Linked DNA regions of Nothobranchius furzeri. The protein of the gene in region 1 purifies or fractionates together with the protein of each later gene. This does not show direct contact. Links are inferred from orthologs where the notes say so. Each region holds a gene or a part of one and is shown in the gene's direction. Other genes may lie near its edges.

The links.
Region 2: the proteins of porb (region 1) and emc4 purify together in Homo sapiens (affinity purification with mass spectrometry; 3 studies listed by BioGRID and IntAct, with this or other methods). This does not show direct contact. The link is inferred for Nothobranchius furzeri from reciprocal best matches to the Homo sapiens genes POR and EMC4.

The regions. Positions count from the first base shown.
Region 1 is NC_091753.1:33,456,023-33,460,056, forward strand, and holds the end of porb (P450 (cytochrome) oxidoreductase b), read left to right. Parts: intron 1-355; coding exon 356-472; intron 473-590; coding exon 591-709; intron 710-923; coding exon 924-1,105; intron 1,106-1,192; coding exon 1,193-1,342; intron 1,343-1,424; coding exon 1,425-1,686; intron 1,687-1,785; coding exon 1,786-1,931; intron 1,932-2,111; coding exon 2,112-2,197; intron 2,198-2,424; coding exon 2,425-2,569; 3' UTR 2,570-3,430; downstream 3,431-4,034. UniProt on the Homo sapiens protein: This enzyme is required for electron transfer from NADP to cytochrome P450 in microsomes. It can also provide electron transfer to heme oxygenase and cytochrome B5.
Region 2 is NC_091742.1:80,310,416-80,314,736, forward strand, and holds the start of emc4 (ER membrane protein complex subunit 4), read left to right. Parts: upstream 1-1,236; 5' UTR 1,237-1,400; intron 1,401-2,001; 5' UTR 2,002-2,043; coding exon 2,044-2,147; intron 2,148-3,544; coding exon 3,545-3,659; intron 3,660-3,856; coding exon 3,857-4,010; intron 4,011-4,085; coding exon 4,086-4,246; intron 4,247-4,321. UniProt on the Homo sapiens protein: Part of the endoplasmic reticulum membrane protein complex (EMC) that enables the energy-independent insertion into endoplasmic reticulum membranes of newly synthesized membrane proteins.

The DNA.
Region 1 (4,034 bases):
CAGTTGCAGAGATCCCTACATAGTCACAAATTCTGCTAAGGTGCTGTGATCAACAGTGTCAAAAGCTACAGAAAGGTCTAACAATACTAACACCGTAAACTCCCCGTTGTCTGCAGCTTGTTGAATACTTTTTACGAAAACCAGATTTGAATTGGATCAAAACTATTGTGTCGTTCCAGAAAAGTAATAAGTTGATCTAACACAACTTTTTCCAGAATTTTAGAGATAAAGGGCAATTTAGAAATGAGTCTGAAAAAATAAGACACATCTGTGCTTCCTTTTAACTTCTTGGAAATGTAATTTTGCTTTTTTTCAAATATTTTTGTAAACATTTCTTTTTGATTTTTCTCAACAGGCCCTTTGATTCTAAAAATCCTTTCCTGGCTACAGTCACAGTCAACCGCAGGCTCAACAAAGGTGGTGACAGACACCTTATGCACCTAGAGTTGGATATCACCGGCTCCAAGATCAGGTGGGGCTGGTTGGATCTGTGTTTAAGGTCCTTGGTGTCATGAGGCCAGAGGGATGAATCACGCTCCGTTATCTCACTGACTGCCAAAGTCTAAATCTGTCATGTTCTGTGGTTTCAGATACGAGTCTGGAGACCACGTTGCCGTTTTCCCTACAAATGACTCAGCTCTAGTGAACAAGCTGGGAGAAGTCCTTGGCGTGGACCTTGATGTGGTTATCTCTCTTAATAACCTTGATGGTATTTCACTGACAACACAGAGCACCTTGACCTCATGAAGCCCCACCTCCAACATTCTCACGAAACCCTCACTTCCTATCTGAAGCAGCAGTTGTAAAAGCACGAGTTAGATACTGTAACACCTCTACTGTTTATTACTCCTGATGATGGATTCATCTTAAAGTCCAAACCATGATGTCTGACAGTATAATTGATAAAGTCCCTGTTTTTGCAGAGGAGTCCAACAAGAAGCATCCTTTCCCCTGTCCCACCACCTACCGCACGGCTCTCACTCACTACCTGGACATCACTAACCCTCCTCGCACCAACGTGTTGTACGAGCTGGCTCAGTACGCGTCCGACCCAAAAGATCAGGAGAACATGAGGAAGATGGCATCGTCATCCCCTGAGGGGAAAGTAAGCACCAACATGGAACTCCAGGAGGATTTTGACACAAACACTTTAACTGGGTTCACTTTTAACTCGACTCCTGTTGGTTTACAGTCTCTCTACCAGAACTGGGTGTTGGACGCTTGTAGAAACATCCTCGCCATCTTGGAGGACATGCCCTCTCTAAAGCCTCCCATCGACCACCTATGTGAGCTGCTGCCTCGTCTCCAGGCTCGCTACTACTCCATCGCCTCCTCCTCTAAAGTAACAACCCTTTAAGGAATTCAGTCTGATGGATTAGTGGTGTTGTGTAATGAGCTCGCCGTAACTCTGGCCTGTCGTGCAGGTTCATCCCAACAGCATTCACATCTGCGCCGTGGTGGTGGAGTACCAGACCAAGACGGGCCGCGTCAATAAAGGAGTCGCAACCAACTGGCTGAAAAACAAACTCGTCAACGGCCACAAGTCGACCGTTCCCATGTACATCCGCAAGTCTCAGTTCCGCCTGCCGTTCAAGGCCTCAAACCCGGTGATCATGATCGGTCCTGGAACCGGAATCGCTCCCTTCATGGGCTTCATCCAGGAGAGGGGATGGCTCAAACAGCAAGGTGCCCTCAGATGCTTTGTGCCTGGACACGTTTAATTCTTAGTCCTGTGAACTTTGACACTGATGTGTACGTATGTTGGTGGCTGCTTTTCTTTCACAGGGAAGGAGGTTGGAGAGACAGTGATGTTTTTTGGCTGTAGACACAAGAACGAGGACTATATTTACCAGGAGGAGCTGGAGGACGCAGAGAAGAACAAAGTCTTAACGCAGCTCAATGTGGCTTTCTCCAGAGACCAGGATCACAAGGTAAAGGTCTCAATCTGAATGAATAAACTCATTGTTATAGCAATGCAACATTTTCGCTCTGAGGTGCATTTATTTTTCATTTTCTTAATGAAAAGCACAAGTTTCTGTCCTGAAGGATTTTCCTTGCCATGTTAACTCTTGAATAAAGTTCTTTTTTCTTTTCTGCTTTCCAAACTAAAGGTGTACGTGCAGCATCACCTGAAGAAAAGCAAGGAACCCATCTGGAAACTAATTCACTCAGAAAACGCTCACATCTACATCTGCGGGTAATTTTCTTATCAGAAATAAATTATTAAAACTGTCATTTATCTATAAGAACCTTCTTCAACGATTAATTACAAACGTTTGTCTTTGGGTTTGGGGCGCCACCTAGTGGAGGAGGAAACGAAGTTTAACTTTCAGCTTGAATTCGGTGTAATTTTGAAACATAATTTTATTTTAATGAATTTCCACATTAAATATGACTAAAGGTTCATTTCATTTTCTTTGTTAGTGATGCCAGAAATATGGCTAAAGATGTTCAGCTGGCTTTCTACGAGATTGCAGAGGAAGTTGGAGGCATGACACGCACCCAGGCCACAGACTACGTAAAGAAACTGATGACCAAGGGACGCTACTCGCAAGACGTGTGGAGTTAAATGGCCTTTTCACTACTTTACTGGTGGTTAGTTTTAAAGTTTGTCTTGTTACAAACTGAATTTAAACACGATAAACTCTTGTTTGTTCGCCCCTGATTCACAAGAGCTACACACAGGTAGCAGAGGATCATTTAAGCAAACCCTACCTCAGCAGGTTTTTAAGAGTCCCATTCAGAAAATTTCAAATCTGTTTTGTTTTTTTGTCCTTGTATGATTTGTGTCGTGCTCCTGAACCACCAGAGTCCCGTGGTCCTCGTTCTTAGCAACGCATTCTACTTTGATTCAAACATTAACTGGATGTTGGACTGCAGCTCTAAGAGTTTGCAGGTTTTAAAGTCAAATCCAAGTAGTTTTAAACTATTTTATGTATATATAAAAAACTAGCTTAAAAAATAAAGCAGCAGAAGATCCTATGTCTATTTCAGGTTTTATTTGTCATAATCAGACTGCCCTTTGAACACCACTACATGGCCTCGTTTCGTTTCAGTGGCATTGCGGAGGGTCGTGAGTTCCTGTTCCAGTGTGAACTAGAGGAGCTTCCACGGGAAAGCTGCTGACTTTAGTGTCCCTCTGAGCTCAAATGTACTTTAAAACATGTAGAATATATTTTTAAAAACTTCCTTGAAGAGTTTTTTGTAACTGGTTTTGTTTGCCTCCCAGGGAATTTTCTGAGTAGGTAGGAGAAAATCGTATGAGTAAACACAGACAGAAGGTTAAATCTGTTGGAGCCCTGTGGTGTTCGTCACATTTTAAAACATTTGAAATGACACTTCTGAAGCACAAAATGACTGCATCAAAGTATCTGACCGTAGAAGAATATAGATTCAGTTCTCTCATGAAGACCACATGTTCATGTTTTGTCTAATTGTACATGTGTACCTTAGGGTTTCCTTCCATCAGCCCGTCTGCTCTCCGTAGATTCATGAGAACTTTGGAGTGAGTTAACCAGCTGTGCCTTTTTAACTCTGCCTTATGTAAGAAGCCTCCAAACATGACAATACTTTGTAACTTCTGTTTTTATCTTCCATGTTTGCATTTTCATAGAAAATTAAATTCTTCCAAGACACTTTACCTGATGTTGTCACCTTTTTTGTTCAAGATGTAATGATTTGTATGAAGGTATGATTTTTGTAAATGAATAAAATTGGATGAATTTATTGGATCTGATATTTTTATAGAATATGAATGAGGGTTTTCAACCTTTAAGTGATTTAAAATTAAAATGGCCACAGCACAAAATATGTATAAAAATACAGATTCACTTGTGAACGTGTGGCAGAACCAGGAACCCTGAAGTTGGCTGGCAGCCAGTGAAGCTGGAGGAGAAGTGGGGTGATGTGTGTGTACTTTTGACTATTTGGTCAGAAGCCGAGCACAGGCACTCTGACCCACCTGTAGACAGTTCACGGAGGTTTTGCTCAGACAAGTGAAAAAAGAGTTCCAGTAGTCTTGAGTGTGAGGAGAT
Region 2 (4,321 bases), on another chromosome or scaffold:
TAGCTTATGAACAAAGAGTAGCAGCCTGAGCTTCATCCATTCAGAACCACGCTGGTTTAGATTCTGAGTGGAAACTGCTTTATAAATCTGCACACACTGGACAGAAGCACTGTGCCTGAGGTATGGACTGTTTTGGGTTTACCACTTGGTTTGCACTGCTCAGTAAGTTTGTATATAGCAGTATTGTCTTAAACTGACAGTCAAGAAGATTGTACACAGATGTTTAAACTTTTACAAAACTCACCAGGTGTTTTCTATTTCACTGCTGCAGGAAGATGTAGATGATGTTTCACATAATAAAAGCTTCTAAGTGAATCTGTCTGTGATGTAGTTTTTTTATTCTTCAACATCGTGTGACATCAGAAACTAGACAGTTGCATGATTATATACATATGTGATGTGTCAAGTTGTCAAGGTAAAATCAGTCATTCAGTAAGGTTGCATTTAGTGAGGGATTGTTAAAAAGGTGGAAGAAATAATGAATGCAAAGGCAAATAAATGCTTGTGTTTTTATTACATTTTGTTTTAACACTAAAACTGCCCTGACCAGTCATTAGGACTGCTGCATTTAAAGGTCAATAAATTCACCAAACAGAAACGATGAAATTACTAAGAGACAGCCTGGTCGGATGCTGGAGATGCTCTTTGGCTGTAGAGTTTTCCAGTTAAGATATTCTGTCTTTATCTTGCCCTGAGAAATCAGCAAGAACTTCTCTGGCAGTGGAAATGAATGCCTCAGACAAAAATAGGTAAACATTATCACATCTCATCCGTAGTTTACATAATAAACATTAAAATCAGTTTTTAATAGAAATTTGTGCAGCTTTAGGAAAAGTCAGGGGGGCTGCATGTTTTTATTTGATAAAGTAATTCAACATCCAAATTACAACAGAACTAAGGTCTTTCTAGTGTTAAAGTTGAGTTTGAGCTCTAGTTTGGAGAGAATTGCAACCCTAATATTTTTGGTTTATTACAGTCATAAAGAATTTAAAATAAGAAAAATATTTTTGCCTGTATTTAGAATTAAAAATACGTTTTTAGAGATCAAATTATTATTTTTTTAGTAGAAACTTTTTACATAGCAACTTTCACAAAGATTTTTCAAATCACAATTTTTTAATCAAACAGCTGTAAAACAAGGATGAAATTTTAAAATAGAGCAAAAAGAGATTCTATTTTGTTTTATTTTGTAGTAACAACGGAAAAGTTATGACGCAGTTTCCGCTTCGTCAGCGTAGAGAACGTAAGTGCGTCATAATTGCGGGCCCCAGAATCAGAGAAGAGGACAGTAGTGACCGTGGAACAAGTTGTTCTTTGGCTCTGCCTGCGAGCTAATTTCGCCAATTTCCTGCTAAAAACTCTGTAAACGCTCGCTGCGGCGGTTTGGATGGTTCTATAAGGTAAATTAATCTTTAATGGACGGACGGAGGTTTTATTCACACTCAGCATTCGGTAATTTACAGTATCATCCTGCTTCCCGTCGTCATCCTGTCTTCCTGTTCTAGTAAATATTAGCTGTTTGGGTCAGTTGCTGTTTGTTTATGAACAGCTGGACCCGTCTAATTGCTGGTCCAGACCACTCTACCTGACAGCTAACTGTAAGGGTGTGTATGTGCTTCCTGGATGAATCCAGAACCTTTTCAGCGAATCATCAATGGAAATGATGCCAAGAGAAGCTAGTCTGTGCTAAGTGTTTTTATCTGTAGTTAACTGCTACAACAAAACATTAAATGTCCATTATTAATATAACAAGAGGAGTGAGTAAAGATGGGACAGAGGAGGATGTGCAGTCTTATTCATTTACTAATTACTTTGAGTGAGCCTATTTGGCTTAATTATTTCTTAATTTGCTGCACAAACTGAATAAAAACCCAGCAGAACTCTCACTGCGTTCATCTCACTTTCTGTTCTATTATATTAGTGCTTTTTGTGGTTAAATAACACTTTACACATCGGTTTAAATAGAAGTTACGTAATTAATTTTGTTTTTCCATCCTCTAGGTGTTTTCTGTCTCTTGAGGTCCAGCGGTGAAGCCTGTTGCCATGGCGTCTCCAGGGGGACAAGGAGGAGGGGCTTTGTCCACAAGAGGAGGCGGCGGGGCTCGGAGGATGAAATGGGCTCTGGAGCTGAGCGTAGGAAACACACGGTACTGAGAAGACCAGGCTGGAGCTTCAGAACTCTCCCTCTAGCTAAAGATGAACATTATTATCGGGATGGCGCTAGCACAGGAGTTGAGTGCCTGTCTCATAACTGAAAGGTTGTGGGATCGAGTCCCATTCAGTTTGTCGCTGTTGTATCCTTGGGCAAGAAACTTTCAGTTCTCTTTTGGCCTGCTGGTGGTGGCCAGAGGGACTGGTATGGTAGTCTTGCCTCTGTCAGTGTGCCCCAGGACAGCTGTGGCTACTAATGTAGCTCATCATCACCTGTGTGTGTGAGTGGGTGAATGACTACTGTGAAGCATCTTAGAGGGTTGTAGAACCCTATAGGTGCTATACAAATACGAGCCGTTTACCATTATTGGACTAACGTGTAAATATCTGTACAGGATGTGAGGGACGTTGTAGAAAACAGTTTGGTTTTTATTTTGTTGGAGGCTGCAGCTGGATGGAAAGTGTTTGTTTTGTTCCGATGTTCCCAGAGGCATGAGGCTCAAACTGTTAATAGTCCAGGGTGGGACGGGTCAGCTGGAGGCATGCAGGTTCTGCAGGCAGGGCAGGTTTCAGCTGATCACCTTCTCAGTGGATCTGATGTTACGCTGGAGCTTCTTTCCATCTGTGACATGATGATAGCACAGAGATGGTGGGGTAGACTCGATGATGTTCGAGTAGAAGTACACTGTGCCTTCAGGCTGAATCTGCCCAGCGGCTGCTGTTTTGTTAAGCTCCCAGGTGAGCGTGTGATAGATGATGGTTCCCAGAAAGTGATGGGTCTCCTAGAGTCTCAGTGATGGAGACAGGAGCAGGTGGACCTGTGATCTTCCTGAAGTGACTGTGTGGTGTTGGTCTGACATCTGCTGGCTCTCCGGTATCTCCTCTGGATCGAGCCCAGTGTGGGTTTGCTGTTTGAAGCGCTGGCTACTGATGAAATAGTGTGTGGTTAATCTAATCTGTAATCCACATATTCTGTATTCACTTGTTGCATCAAAATGATTCTTATTGTCCAAAAAAGCTTTATAATACCGTTAAGTGTTAAGTTGGGTCGGTACAAAGTTTGCACTCGGCCTTGCTTCTGTCATCTTGACAGATTATAAAGTACGTCCTCACGGCTGACGTGCTGTTTAACCTAGCTACAGCACCTGAACCCACACTGTCACACTTTAGTGGTCAATGTAGAAAACTACAGCAGAAATGAAAAGTCACAGTGAAGCCACTTTCAGGCAACTGCAGTGGTATCGGTTAGCGTAACAAGTACGAGTACATGGGATCGTATCGGTGAATCCCTGTTCTAAACTAGCATCAGAAAACGGCACCATCCTACGGTAGACAGAAGAAATCTGTTTTTCTGCTCGTAGCTGATCTGTTTCTGTTGCTTTTTGTGTCGTAGAAGCCGCAGCGATCGGCAGGGCGGTCAGGGAGACGTCGTCTACCCCATCGGTTACTCTGAAAAGCCTGTTCCTGACACCAGCATCCAGGAGACGGACAAAAACCTGGTGGAGAAGGTGAGGAACCGTTCTACTCGGCTCTAGTTAGATTTTTGTTTTACCTGTTTGTACCATTTTAAAGTTAAACCTCAGTAAATGCAGCCTTAAGTATAAAAACCCAGGAGAAACTAAGACGTTCTTCACTTCATACATCCCGTGATGTCACAGATCAGCCGATTGGTCTAAACATCTGTCTCCTTGTCCCTGTCCCACAGCGCTGCTGGGACGTGGCCCTCGGGCCCCTGAAGCAGATTCCCATGAACCTGTTCATCATGTACATGTCGGGCAACACCATCTCCATCTTCCCCATCATGATGGTCTGCATGATGGCCTGGAGGCCCATCCAGGCTCTGATGTCCATGTCTGCCAGTGAGTATCCACCAGTCTGGTGTTTGTCTTCGTCTCTAGGTTTTAGTCCTCACTGGTGTCCTCTTGTGTCCTCAGCCTTCAAGCTGCTGGAGAGCTCCAGCCAGCAGTGGCTACAGGGACTGGTCTACCTGATCGGGAACCTTCTGGGAGCAGCGCTGGCCATCTACAAGTGTCAGTCCATGGGACTGCTCCCCACGCACTCGTCTGATTGGTTAGCGTTCATCGAGCCGCCTCAGGTGAATAAACGCACCGCTGTCGCAGACGACATCGTTCAGTTCACTGTTCAGTTAAAATGTGATATGTTTGCTTTC